Macaca fascicularis: one gene and its partners. The protein of the gene in region 2 interacts with the protein of the main gene of each other region in a pairwise test. Links are inferred from orthologs where the notes say so. Each region holds a gene or a part of one and is shown on either strand. Other genes may lie near its edges.

Region 1 (3,644 bases), on a different chromosome or scaffold from region 2:
CACACCTGTAATCCCAGCACTTTGGGAGGCTGAGGTGGAAAAATTGCTTGAGGCCAGGAGCTCGAAACCAGCTTGGGCAACATAGTGAGACCCTGTCTCCACAAAAAAAAATTAAAAAACAAAACAAAACATGAGCTTGGCATGATGGTACAAGTCTGTAGTCCCAGCTACTCAGGAGCCTGAAGTGACAGGATCACTAGAGCCCAGAAGGTAGAGCTATAACTGTAGTGAGCTATGACTGTGCCACTACACTCCAGCCCAGGTGACAGGGGACTCTTGTCTCTTAAAAATAAAAAGCTGTCACACTTAGGAGACATAAAAGAATAAAGATGGAAGAGAACCATGGAAAAGGGGAAATGTGACAGTCATCTCTCTAGTAGGAGAATGTACTGAAAAAGAGGCAGAAAAAAGATAGCATAAGAAACTAGCTCAGCTGCATTGTTCTAGAAGGTAAACCTACCGTTTTATTTCGTAATCGAATGATATCAGATACAGAACCAGCCCCACAGTACTCCATAACGATCCATAAGTCCGTGTTCTTAAAATAACTGCCATAATATTTGACTACATGAGGGCTAGAGAGAGAAAATACAAATTAATAAAATGGCCTTCAAACATCTCTTAATTCATGCTATTAAGTATAGAAAAATTAATTCCTCATCTGGAAAGATCAATTATTCATAGTTAAGGACAAAATGGGCAACCTCCTGATAAGAATGCAAAATGGTATAGCTTTTCCGGAGGGTAATAAATCACGGAAGTATAAAAAATCGGTGGCTCCTTTAACCAGCATTTCTATGTCTACAATTTACCCTCAAAAAAGAATTATAAATGTTCAAAAAGCAACAGTTACCATCATAGTACTATTGACAAAAGTAGAAATTTAGATAACATCTAAATGTCCATCCAACATTAGGGAATTTATTTAAGAACTAATGATACAGGGCCGGGTGCAGTAGCTCATGCCTGTAATTCCAACACTTTGGGAGGCCGAGGCGGCGGATTGCCTGAGCAAGATGGTGAAACCCCGTCTCTACTAAAATACAAAAAATTTGCCAGGCATGGCAGCGTGCACCTGTTGTCCCAGCTACTGGGGAGGCTGAGGCAGGAAAATTGTTTGAACCCGGGAGGTGGAGTTTGCAGTGAGCCGAAATGGTGCCACGGCACTCCAGCCTGGGCGACAGAGCAAGACTCCATCTCAAAAAAAAGAAAGAATGATATAGCCATATAATAAAATATCATGAATCCATGAAAAATGTTATAGAGGAGTATATGAGAAGACATCGTGTTTACAAAAACAAACAAACAAAAAAGCAGGCTACAAAACAGTAATTATTGTAAAACTCCAAAGAGATTTGGAAGAATATGTGTATCAAGGAGTATTTAAGAATGATGATTTCGGGCAGGCGCGGTGGCTCACGTCTGTAATCCCAGCACTTTGGGAGGCTAAGGCGGGCGGATCACGAGGTCAGGAGATGGAGACCATCCTGGCTAACACAGTGAAACCCCGTCTCTACTAAAAATACAAAAAATTAGCCAGGCATGGTGGCGGGGCCTGTAGTCCCAGCTACTTGGGAGGCTGAGGCAGGAGAATGGTGTGAACCCGGGAGACGGAGCTTGCAGTGAGTCGAGATCAGGCCACTGCACTCCAGCCTGGGCGACAAGAGTGAGGAGACTCCATCTCAAAAAAACAAACAAACAAAAAGAATGATGATTTCTCCAAAGGGAAAAGTGATTTTCTTTTCTTTTCATTTGAATTCTTCTAAGAAGTCATATGTACTTTGTAATAAAAACATACACACACTACAACCTATTATAAAGAAAAAATGTTCAGTATCAAACCTGGAATTTTAGGTCTCAAGCTGGAAGAGAGATACCAAACAAGAAATTTCAGAGAAAAATCAAATATCCTATTAAAATAAAATAATGTGCTCTTTGAGAACTGCCAGCTTTAACTGGCTAGATGGTTATCATGGTCAAATAAAGTTTCATAACAACTGATGCTAAAACCAAATTGGCTTCATTAACTCAGAACTCAGAATTTCCTCTTCAAACCTCGGGAAACATGCCAGTGACAAGGACAGCAAAACACACACACACACACAAAGTCACAAGGACAGCAAAACATACACACACACACACACACACACAAAATATTAATGAAAAAAGTGACTAAGGTAAATATTAACACATTTACTCTCTCTATAATACAGTACTGACGGGAGTTAAATACTGCAGGCCATTACTATCAAGTATTTACTACTGACATATGTTCTCTATAGTCTCGCATTGTTGGCTAGATTCTCCTCCCTACACATATATATATATGTGTGTGTGTGTGTGTGTATATATATATATATATACTTAGCCTGTCCAATTAGACTATAAGCTCCCAGAGCACAAGGGCTCTGCTCTGTATTTCACTGTATTCCTTACAGTGCTTAGCACAGGGTAGACTCTTATCTCTTCTTTAATTAAAGACATTTCCATACTCTGTTTGGAACACAGCTCCTACACAGTCTATCGAAAGTGACTAAGTCCCAATTTGCCAAATGGAAAGAACTTCCAAAATGTATCTGAAAAAGGAGCAAATGGAAAACTGCCACCTTCATCTGGTCAATCCAATCAAGAAAAATGGGGATTTTATCTAGTAGACAATAATCACAAAAATAGAAGGAAAAAAAAAAGGAGGGAGAGAGAAAAGAAAGGACTACATTCCCAAGTCTGTGAGACCGAAAGGCTTCTGGACTAATTTTCTAGTAGGTAACCCCACCTAAACCCTAATGTAGAAGTTTTGCAAACAGGGGGTACTAAGTTGATCTGCTGACCAAAAAGCCTTCAGAAGAATGAATGCAGCTTCAACTGAGAGAATTTCTCACCCATCTTCAACTAACTAGAACTGGCATTGCCCCTAACTTTGTGTTTGTCTCTAATCTAAATAGTGCTGGGGAAGCCTGCTCTATCAGTGACCAACCCGTGTTGTCATGGAATTTCAGAGCAAACCACGTGGTTTTCTGTGGTCGTCTTTTGGTCTGACTTCCTGCTTACAACATTTGACAAATCTTAGTTCCTCAAAAATAAATACTTAAGTACTCTCAGCTGGAATAATTTTTTTTAATGTGAAGGAACAGACAGTAGTATATACATAACTACTCTTTTTTTATAGATTTACCTGGTATTCTAAGGTTTCTAGAACTAAAAAACATTTGAATTATCTGTTCTTAGCTATCTCTGCAGAAATGTTTTCTCAATAGGAAGTAAAAAAGATCATTATCACAAAAAAAAAAAAAACAAAAAAAACAAGCACCACCTTCTGCCTCTTCTTCCTAGTGTCTAAAAGGGCTCACTGAAAAAAAGAAAAAAACCAGGCCTGGTAGCTCACTCCTGTAACCCCAGTACTTTGGGATATGGCCAAGGCAGGCGGATCATTTACGGCCAGGAGTTTGAGACCAGCCTGACCAATATGGTGAAACTCTGTCTCTACCAAAAATACAAAATTAGCTGGGCGTAGTGGCACATGCCTGTAGTCCCAGCTACTCGGGAGGCTAAGGCACAAGCATCGCTTGATCCTGGGAGGTGGAGGTTGTAGTGAGCCAAGATTGCGCCACTGCACCCCAGCCTGGGCAACGGAGTGAGACTTCGTC
Region 2 (4,152 bases):
GCGTGAGCCACCGCGCCCGGCCATCCCCATTTTTTTTTAAACAAGGAAGCAGAACACAGAGACGTCCGGGGGTAACATGGGGACTAAGTGGTAGTCAGGATTCAAACCCAGGGCTCTGGTTCCAGTCTGTACTCTTAACTACTGCATAGTATGATTTTTTAAAGTCCTATTTCTAACACTTGCTTTTCAAAATGAAGATAAAACAAAGCAACCCCACCATGGAATCAGACCCTTCAGCTTGAAGAAAGATGCTCCACGAGTTTGGCCTGCTATGTCTCCACCTGCCAGCCCTCATCTGCACATCAGAACGTTTCTCAACTTTTGCCATCCAGCCATAGGTTCACAATTAGTTAAATATTAATCATGACAAACAGAGACTCCTTTTTGTAGCCCCTTGATTCCAGTTTTGCTTTCTCTCCAGTGTTCAGACATCGTTAGTATTAAACCAACTATGTGGGGGGCCATGAGAGCCCAGGAAAGTAAAAACACCTCACCAAGTCACGCACAAAGTCAGAGGTACTGCCTGGGGGCCTGAGTCTTCCTGCCACTAGAAATGATGTATGACTTTATCAAAGGAGAACGACAATTCTGATGTGACATGATGATCAATTCATTTAATCATGGAGTATCTCACACAGGCACATACAAATACACACAAAGGTACCATTATCACCAAACCAGAAAAAGAAAATCACAAAACTATGTGCAAAATCTTCAACAAGTGATATAGTCCCCCAAAGTCTAACTACAAACTAGAATGCCAATGAAGCAGATTTCCTGGGATTCCAGCTATGATAAAACTCATTTCACTGAGGCTCCCGGCTCTCTGCCTGTGTGTAGGGGTTGTTGGATGCAGTAAGGGAATCTTGAAAGTGCAAAAGCTGCCGACACACCCAAGGGTAAGTTGCACTCGATTCTACTGCAGTCAAAGGCATTTACCAAAGGACAGCAGCCCCTCTACCCACAACATGTACCTCTACAAACCTTTGCTCCTTCCTTCTTAATTAGCACCTGAACTGGGAGTTCTGGTGGAGGAAAGAGCACCACCCACTTGCCCTTCCAATCTTTCCCTTCCAGTTGATCCAGGCTTAGAGTCTGAGCTCTATTTCCCTGCAGCCAGCTGCAGCGGGTGGCACACTGAACATCCTCGGCTGCAGACTGCAGGCAGAAAAAAGGTAGGCTTTTCCTGATGTGGAAATCGCTGCTGCTGTCCAACGCTACCGTTGGATGGGAGATGTAAGGCTGCTGTCATGGGGGAAGGGCCTTTGCTGAAAGATGCAAACCACAATCCATTTCCAGAGATGCTTGTTAGAGGCTGTGCCATTGTCTGTGCTTTGGGCTTCAGTTATTTGAAATATCATGTAAACACATGAACACATGGCTGTGGATATCCTCTGCTAAACACGCAAGAGCAAATGCCGGGGAGGGGGTGGACGGTGGACACCTATTAAAGGCATACGCACCCCTAACTGTAGGAGGAGAAAAATAATAAACCCCCAAGAAAAATGAAGATTAGCTCAGAAAATGTATACACTGGGGGCCCAGTGTTTTCTGGCTTTGAGAAGAGCCTGGCTCAGGAGGTGACTGGAGGGGCCTGAGAGCTGTGGAGATGAAGGGACCCTGTCAGGAGTTGAGTAATGTTAGAGCATGACGACTAGGGCAGGAACCCAGGAGGAGGAAGGGGAGGAGGCAGGGCACAGCCAAACATTGGAGCAGAGTCCAAAGGTTTGAGGGGCCAGAGGCGAAAGGCAGGAGGGGGCACGGGTTCAGGGTGACTTCAGGCTCTCTTCAGTCTCACAGCCTGCCTTTATCCGGAGCCTAACAAGGTCTCCTCCCTGTCCCAATAGGTACCCCTGGAGGAGAGGTCTGAGCCTGGAGGAGAGGTCTAGCGTTTTGTCAGTAACCCTAATAAGCAAGGGTCAAATGGTCATCTAACAGCAGTCTCACAACCCACTCCCAAGAACTCACAACGAAACCATGAGGGTGCACAGGGAGATGACAGAATGACCTTGTCGCTGAGGCCATCACCCACCCACCCCCCACAACCTGCGTGTGTGTGTGTGTGTGTGTGTGTGTAGGGCCGAGGCATGCACCTGTCAGGAGACAGGTATCTGTTAACTACCGCATAACCATACCTAGGCAGTGGGCAGGCACTAAAGGATACAGGGCAGGGAGCTAAGGAGAAGACTGTCCCCAGGGGTTACCTCCTTATGGTCGGGGCTCCCCTGGAGCCTGAGAGTGTAATGGCCCCTCTCTCCCTGCCCCAGGGCCCTACCAGTCCTTCGCCCCCAGACTGCGGTCTCCCCGCGCGCCCCTCCCCTGCCTTCACACTTACTAGCGCAGCGCAGCGCCTGCCGCAGCACCTCTCGTCCACACAGGTCACACCAGCCGGGGCCGCCCGGCAGCACCAATTCCGCGAAGCAGTGCCCCTCGCCTCGCTCCGCCGGGACTCGGGGATCCTGCGGCTGCTCGAAGATGCTCCTCACGTCGCGGGGTCGGGGCGCTCCAGGCCGCCGCCGCAGTCTCTGCTGCAGACCAGGCCGGAGCGGGCGAGCGGGTCGGGAGGCCCGGGTTGGGGGCTCCAGGTTCCCCCGGGCAGCCCTCCGGGCGCTGCGCCCCTCGTGCGCCCCGGGCGCAGTGGAGAGGGGCGCCGGGACACAGCGGCGGGAGGACCGGTCGGGGGGCGGCGGCGGCGGCTCGGGGCCGCTCAGGCTCTGTAGATAGTGAGGCGGCTCGGGGTCCAAGAGTATCGGGTACGGGCGCTGCCCGATGGCCGAGGACGCCATGGCCATGCCCGGCTAGTGGCTGTGGCTTTGGCAGCGGCGGCTTTGGCGACTGCGCTACTCCCGAGGCAGCCCCGAGAGAAGGGGCGGCCCCACATCAGCGCGCCTTTAAAGGGACCGCAGCCTGCTGGGCGGGGCGGGGGCGGGGAGAGTCGGAGTGGCAGGAAGAACTACCCAAGGGAACCACCGACGGACCGAGGGGTAGGGTCGGTGCGGGGTGACGTCTGCTCGAGTGTGGATTTGGGGGCGTCACCTGGAGCAGCTGCAGGATTCCGCAGAGGAGCGCCTCTGTACAGTACAGTTCAGAGGGCGCATTTCTGCGAGGGACCCTCGGCCTTCAGCCCTGCCTCTTTCCCTTGCCGATCACTTCCCCCAACACCAGGTCCACCCGCCACCCGCACCCTCACGCGCCCCGGGAGGGAGCAGGTCGGAGGGAAAGGCTTGGGAACTGGCTTGATGGGGTCTCAGTAGGGCCCCTCAGTCTAGGCGTCCGCCCGCCACCCTCCCGCTGATCGTGCGGACAGAAGGGCAGTGCTCCTTGGCCCTTTCTCTCTCCGGCTTGTCGCCGCCCTCCGCCCCCTCTACAGGCGAGCTCGACGCGGGTCGGGAATGCCCCGCTCGTGCTACGGCAGCCGCGCGTTGTCCCGTGGCTGACCGCCGGATGCAGCCAGCGCAGCTGGGGCTGGCAGAGCTGTCCGAGTGCGACTTTCGCTCTGGTTGGATTTCCCCTCCCTTTGCAGTCCTGCCGGGTAGGGTATTCCTCTTTCCTGGAAGACTGGTGCGGGGGAGGTAGGGGGACTCGATGCAGAGAACGCTCCCGCGCCCCAAGGGTTGGGGGAGCTTTTCTTCCTTAGCCAACCCTCCGCTCCCTAGAGCTGCTCGAGTAATTACTATGGAGATACCAGTTCCCCTAAATGCCCTACGTGGAACCTGGTATGGACGGCTCAGTCATGGGACCCAAAGAGAGATCTCCTTTCTCCCGGCACTTTCCCCAATGAAGGCTTGCTTCATGGACTCCTGTCTGGTTTAACGCTCTGCGGTCACCATCTTGAAAGTCTTACTTTTTGAACAAAGGGCCAGGCGTCTTCTTTTTGCACCGGTTCCCACAAATTATGTAGTTTTTCCTGACAGGCACCTTTGCCCATGGAAACAGGCCCATCTCATGGATAAGGAGGACTCCTGGATCTCTGAACCTGGGCCTGGGCCCTCTCCAGCCCCAATTTTGTTAACTGCACACTGGGCTGGAGGTAGCGAGACGGGTGGGTGTTAACGTGGTGTTTCCAGCTCCGTCATTATGACTCAGTGATCACAGCTTTCCTCTTAAAACACGGGTTCAGTTTGGTCTGTCTAGCGGTGGTCATTTTTTAGA
Region 3 (4,203 bases), on a different chromosome or scaffold from region 2:
CTAAAACATCCTGAAGCATGCAATCACTTGAATATTTTGCAAGATATTTTCAGGAGTACCAAGAATTCAATATACCATCTTCATTCAGAAACAAAATTAAACATCTGCCTCAACCTTTAAAGCTCGATTACAAGGCAAAGTGGAGATTTCAAATTCAAATGAATAGTTTTTCAAAATGAGTTTTTATCACTCCTTGGGTAAAACAAACAAGCAAATGTCATGTAAAAAACTGTTAAAGGATAACGCTCCTTCATCATTACTTAAAATTTTTAGAATCACATTTTTCACATGCATGGCATATTTCTCAGCCAAAGAATTATGAAAAGCATTAGAACTTAGATCCAAAGTTTGCTATGTCTTTAAAGTAGCTGTTTTCCTTTTTAATTTTTTATATGCCACTGTAAGATTGAAGTCTCCTGCCTTTCAATAAATATTAAATATCAATTTCCTAGTTTGGCTCGTTCTTGAGAAAAGTATTAGAGTGAGTCCAGGGGAGAACATACTTTGTGTGAAAAATGAGACTACATGCTTCAGTTGTCTACCACTGCTGGTGGTGTTTTACAACGTAGAGAGATAAATTCAATCTAAACTCACCAATCCTGTGTAACGTATCTGTGGGTTGGAATTCAGTTACAGCAGCCTCAGAAGAGTTCATGAAATTACATTTTCAAGAAACTTAAAAACTTTAAAAATTCTGCATGAAGTCAAACAGAACTCTTGGCTGCACACTGTAATCTGACACTAGGCTGAAGAAACTGACCAAGTTTAAGTAACCCAAGAGGAACTGTTTCCTGCTTTCTGTTAGAACAGTCTGCAATGACCTATAGTAACACTGCTGAGGCAGAGGTTACTATCGGGCATTAGATGATGCTATCAGGAAGTCAGTCAGTCGGGTCAGGTGGTTTTTCTTTCTTTTTTTTTCTGGGGTAGCACTTATCTGAAGTGTTCCTAAGAATTCAACTCTGCTCACCCATCAAGTTTGTAAAGACAAGAAAAACTAAAAAATGAATTGGAAAATGCACTCGGACCAAGTAGGTAGCTCCCTCTTCACCTCAACAAAAGGACTGGCATGGAAAACGTAAGTTAAGATGGAACTCCGCATCAAAACAAACTTGCCTGTGAGTATCTCTGGGAAGGTGCGGCGGCCCTTCTAAAGGGAACCAAAGGTCTATTTGACAGTGGTTTATTTTAGCTCACTTTACCTAGTCTGCTCCTGTAAGATGAGATGAGGCTCCACGAAGAACTTGACTCTCAGTTTAAGCCTGTAAGGGGCTAGCCCATCCATCTGCTGGGAGATCCGGTTCCTCAGGTTTAGCCATAAACTTTCACCTTTGCTACCCGTAAACTGCAGTCCAAAATAATCAACTTCTATGATTCCCAGTCGCCTGCACACCTAAAACAAAAAGGAATGCAGCCTGGATGAGCAAATGGTACATGTCAAAGCAAACCCAACGACTCCCGGAGGCCGACTGCTGGTACTTTTTACAAAGTTCAGTAGTGTTACAATTCCTGATCTAAACTGGAAAAACAAAGTTCTACGGCTCCAACGACACCAAACTACGACCTATAGTATGGAGACTCATAATTCCTTTTAACATCTAGGGCATGACCAATTGCAATAGAGAAAAAAAGAGTCCTCAAAAGTAGCCTTCCAAAAGATGAGGAGGGAAAACTACAGGGTATTTTCCGTCTCATTCCAATGACCGGAATTCCCTCCACCAGCATACTCTGCACAGCTGATTTTTGGCGACTTATTATCTGGGCAATTTTAACCATCTGGACTCCAAAAATCAAACACATTGAGGCAACACGCCACAAGTGTCAGCTAAGCTTCACAAGCGGTTTCCCAAACATCTCAGAGCTAGAGGGGTTGAGGGTATAGCGTTTTCCTGGGATCACATTTGCTGTCTGCCATACCACCTATGCGCTATTTGGCACCGATCTCCCTCATTCTTAAGGAACCACATGCTTAAAAACAACCGAGCAGTAGATGACCCAAACCTATTCCTCCCGTCCCCCGCAAACCCGGAGATGCAGGTGAACGGTGCATTTGAGAGCAGCAGCCTGAGAAGCAGCGTGAGACAAGGGCCCGGCTTATCTGCCAAGAACCCCTGGGGCCCGAGACTGCTTCGAGTCACTCCATTCCATCCTGGCACGCGGGTGGCACTGCCAGGCGCCGCGGGGACCCGACAGGCGGTATCACGCACATACCTGCCGCAGGTGTGCGGAGCCGCCTTCTTCCGGGAAAGTGCTGGACTGGGGGGATGATGGGGGGCTGGGGGGTGGATCCTGGCTGCGGGCTGCGCCAGGCCCTCAGCGCTGGGGACCCCCGCTGCACGCTTTCTCCGCGCACCCCACGCACGCCAGGAGGAGACCGCGCGCCCCACGCCCGTGGAGAGGAGGGGACGCGCTCCTCCCCGGCTGCAGCCGCAGTGCCTCCCGGCCCCTAGTAGGCGGCGCGCCAGGGTGCCAGGCTTCGCTGCGAGGCCCCTCGGTCTCGCAGGACCCTCCGGGGCCCCCTCTTGCCCCTCGCCCTCACCTGGTTGAGGCAGTCCTCGCCGTTGGCTTTCGCCTCCACCTCCACCTCCATCAGCACCGCGTCCGGCCTCGTCACATAACACAGCATGGCTGGGGCTGCCGCTGCCGCTGCCGCCACAGCCGCCTTCTCTTTGGTGTGCGCAGGGCTGCCGCCTTGTCACGGCTGGGACCCAGCCCCGGACTCGGAGAGGGCTGGCCCTCGAAGGCTGCAGCTCTGCGGACCCTTGTCCTGCGCCCCGCGGCCGCCACTCGCGTCCCCGCCACCCCCTCACCCGCTGCCCGCCAGCTCCCCCTGTCCTCCGCGGTGGCGCCGCACTCCAGCAGCTCAACTGCCTGCGCCGCGACAGGGACTCTTCTGATATAACGGCCCCGCCCCCTTCAGCTCGGGTCCCCGCCAATCACGGTCTCCCCGCCCCTCCTCCCCCGCCCGGTCAGCCAATAGCGGCGCCCCTCGACCGCGGCCCCCGCCTCCCAGCGCCGGCTGAGTTCCCCCGGCCGCCCCGGGAGGTGGCAGCTTGCGCGCGCCAAGTGCTGCGGGAAGGGAAGGAGGCACGGGAGCACACCCGCCGCCTCTGCCCGCTGGGCGACGCTGCTCGGAGTGAGCGATCGCCCGGGGCTCCAGGCGGGGACGCCTTTCTGCCATCTCGAATTTACGGTGATTAAACACCTGCAAGCTGCCACTGTTCTTCAGATATCTTGGATCACTCCGAGCACGCATTTCGGTTGTGAAAGCAAAAAGGAAAAGGAGCAACCCAAAGCCTAAAGGAAACTGTTTTCGGCCGGGCATGGTGGCTCATGCCAGCACTTTGGGAGGCCGAGGTAGGCGGATCACCTGAGGTCAGGAGTTCGAGACCAGCCTGGCCAAAATGGTGAAACCCTGTCTCTACTAAAAAAAAAAAAAAAAAAAAAAAAAAGGCCAGGCGTGGTGGCAGGCACCTGTAATCCCAGCTACCTGGGAGGCTGAGGCAGGAGAATCGCTTGAACCCAGGAGGCGGAGGTTGTAGTGAGCTGAGCTGAGATTGTGTCACTGCACTCTATCCTGGGCAACAAGAGCAAAAAACTCTGTCTCAAAGAAAAAAAAAGAAAGGAAAAAGACTGTTTTCCACCAGGCTTAGCCACAGTGGGTTGCTGGGAGGCATAATCGTTGTTCCTTATTAAGACCTCATCATTGAGAAAAACAGTCTGAGTATGAAAGTTTTTGCAGTTGACCAGTGAGCCAGGTGTCTTGGTCTAGTGCTGGTGTGTTACCCTCCAGAAGGGCTTCTCCTTACTCGTTCTGCTGAATCAAAACGCCTTACAGGGCACCAGGCCTTCTCTCAGGTTGCTCATTCTATCTCCTGCCTTATCTCACTCATTCATTAAACATTCATTCAGCATCTGATACCCTGCCTGTCCCTTCTCCCAGGCAACCAGATGTTGTCCTTGTCTTAAGGTAAGATGCCCATCTCCTGACCTAACAGGTGGCATTACTGCAATAGTAGCTATTAAAGGTCTACAACTATTCACTCATTTACCGCTTGTTCCTCTTTGCCAATACATTACATAGGCTACCTTTTTTATTTCTTTACAGAAGCCAGATGATGTGGGTTTCAGCCATGGAAACTTAGAAAACTTACTTCAGGCCAGCTTGATGGCTCACACCTGTAATCCCAGCACTTTGGAAGG

Evidence for each region.
Region 1: the proteins of RASSF5 (region 2) and STK4 interact in binary tests that used the Homo sapiens proteins (3 or more experiments, as listed by UniProt). The link is inferred for Macaca fascicularis from reciprocal best matches to the Homo sapiens genes RASSF5 and STK4.
Region 3: the proteins of RASSF5 (region 2) and MYLIP interact in binary tests that used the Homo sapiens proteins (3 or more experiments, as listed by UniProt). The two-hybrid records come from large-scale screens. The link is inferred for Macaca fascicularis from reciprocal best matches to the Homo sapiens genes RASSF5 and MYLIP.

Annotation. Positions count from the first base shown.
Region 1 is NC_088384.1:101,076,377-101,080,020, reverse strand, and holds part of STK4 (serine/threonine-protein kinase 4), read right to left. Parts: intron 576-3,644; coding exon 461-575; intron 1-460. UniProt on the Homo sapiens protein: Stress-activated, pro-apoptotic kinase which, following caspase-cleavage, enters the nucleus and induces chromatin condensation followed by internucleosomal DNA fragmentation.
Region 2 is NC_088375.1:64,329,620-64,333,771, reverse strand, and holds the start of RASSF5 (ras association domain-containing protein 5), read right to left. Parts: upstream 2,868-4,152; 5' UTR 2,793-2,867; coding exon 2,336-2,792; intron 1-2,335. UniProt on the Homo sapiens protein: Potential tumor suppressor. Seems to be involved in lymphocyte adhesion by linking RAP1A activation upon T-cell receptor or chemokine stimulation to integrin activation.
Region 3 is NC_088378.1:156,812,332-156,816,534, forward strand, and holds the start of MYLIP (E3 ubiquitin-protein ligase MYLIP), read right to left. Parts: upstream 2,870-4,203; 5' UTR 2,627-2,869; coding exon 2,540-2,626; intron 1,394-2,539; coding exon 1,203-1,393; intron 1-1,202. UniProt on the Homo sapiens protein: E3 ubiquitin-protein ligase that mediates ubiquitination and subsequent proteasomal degradation of myosin regulatory light chain (MRLC), LDLR, VLDLR and LRP8. Activity depends on E2 enzymes of the UBE2D family.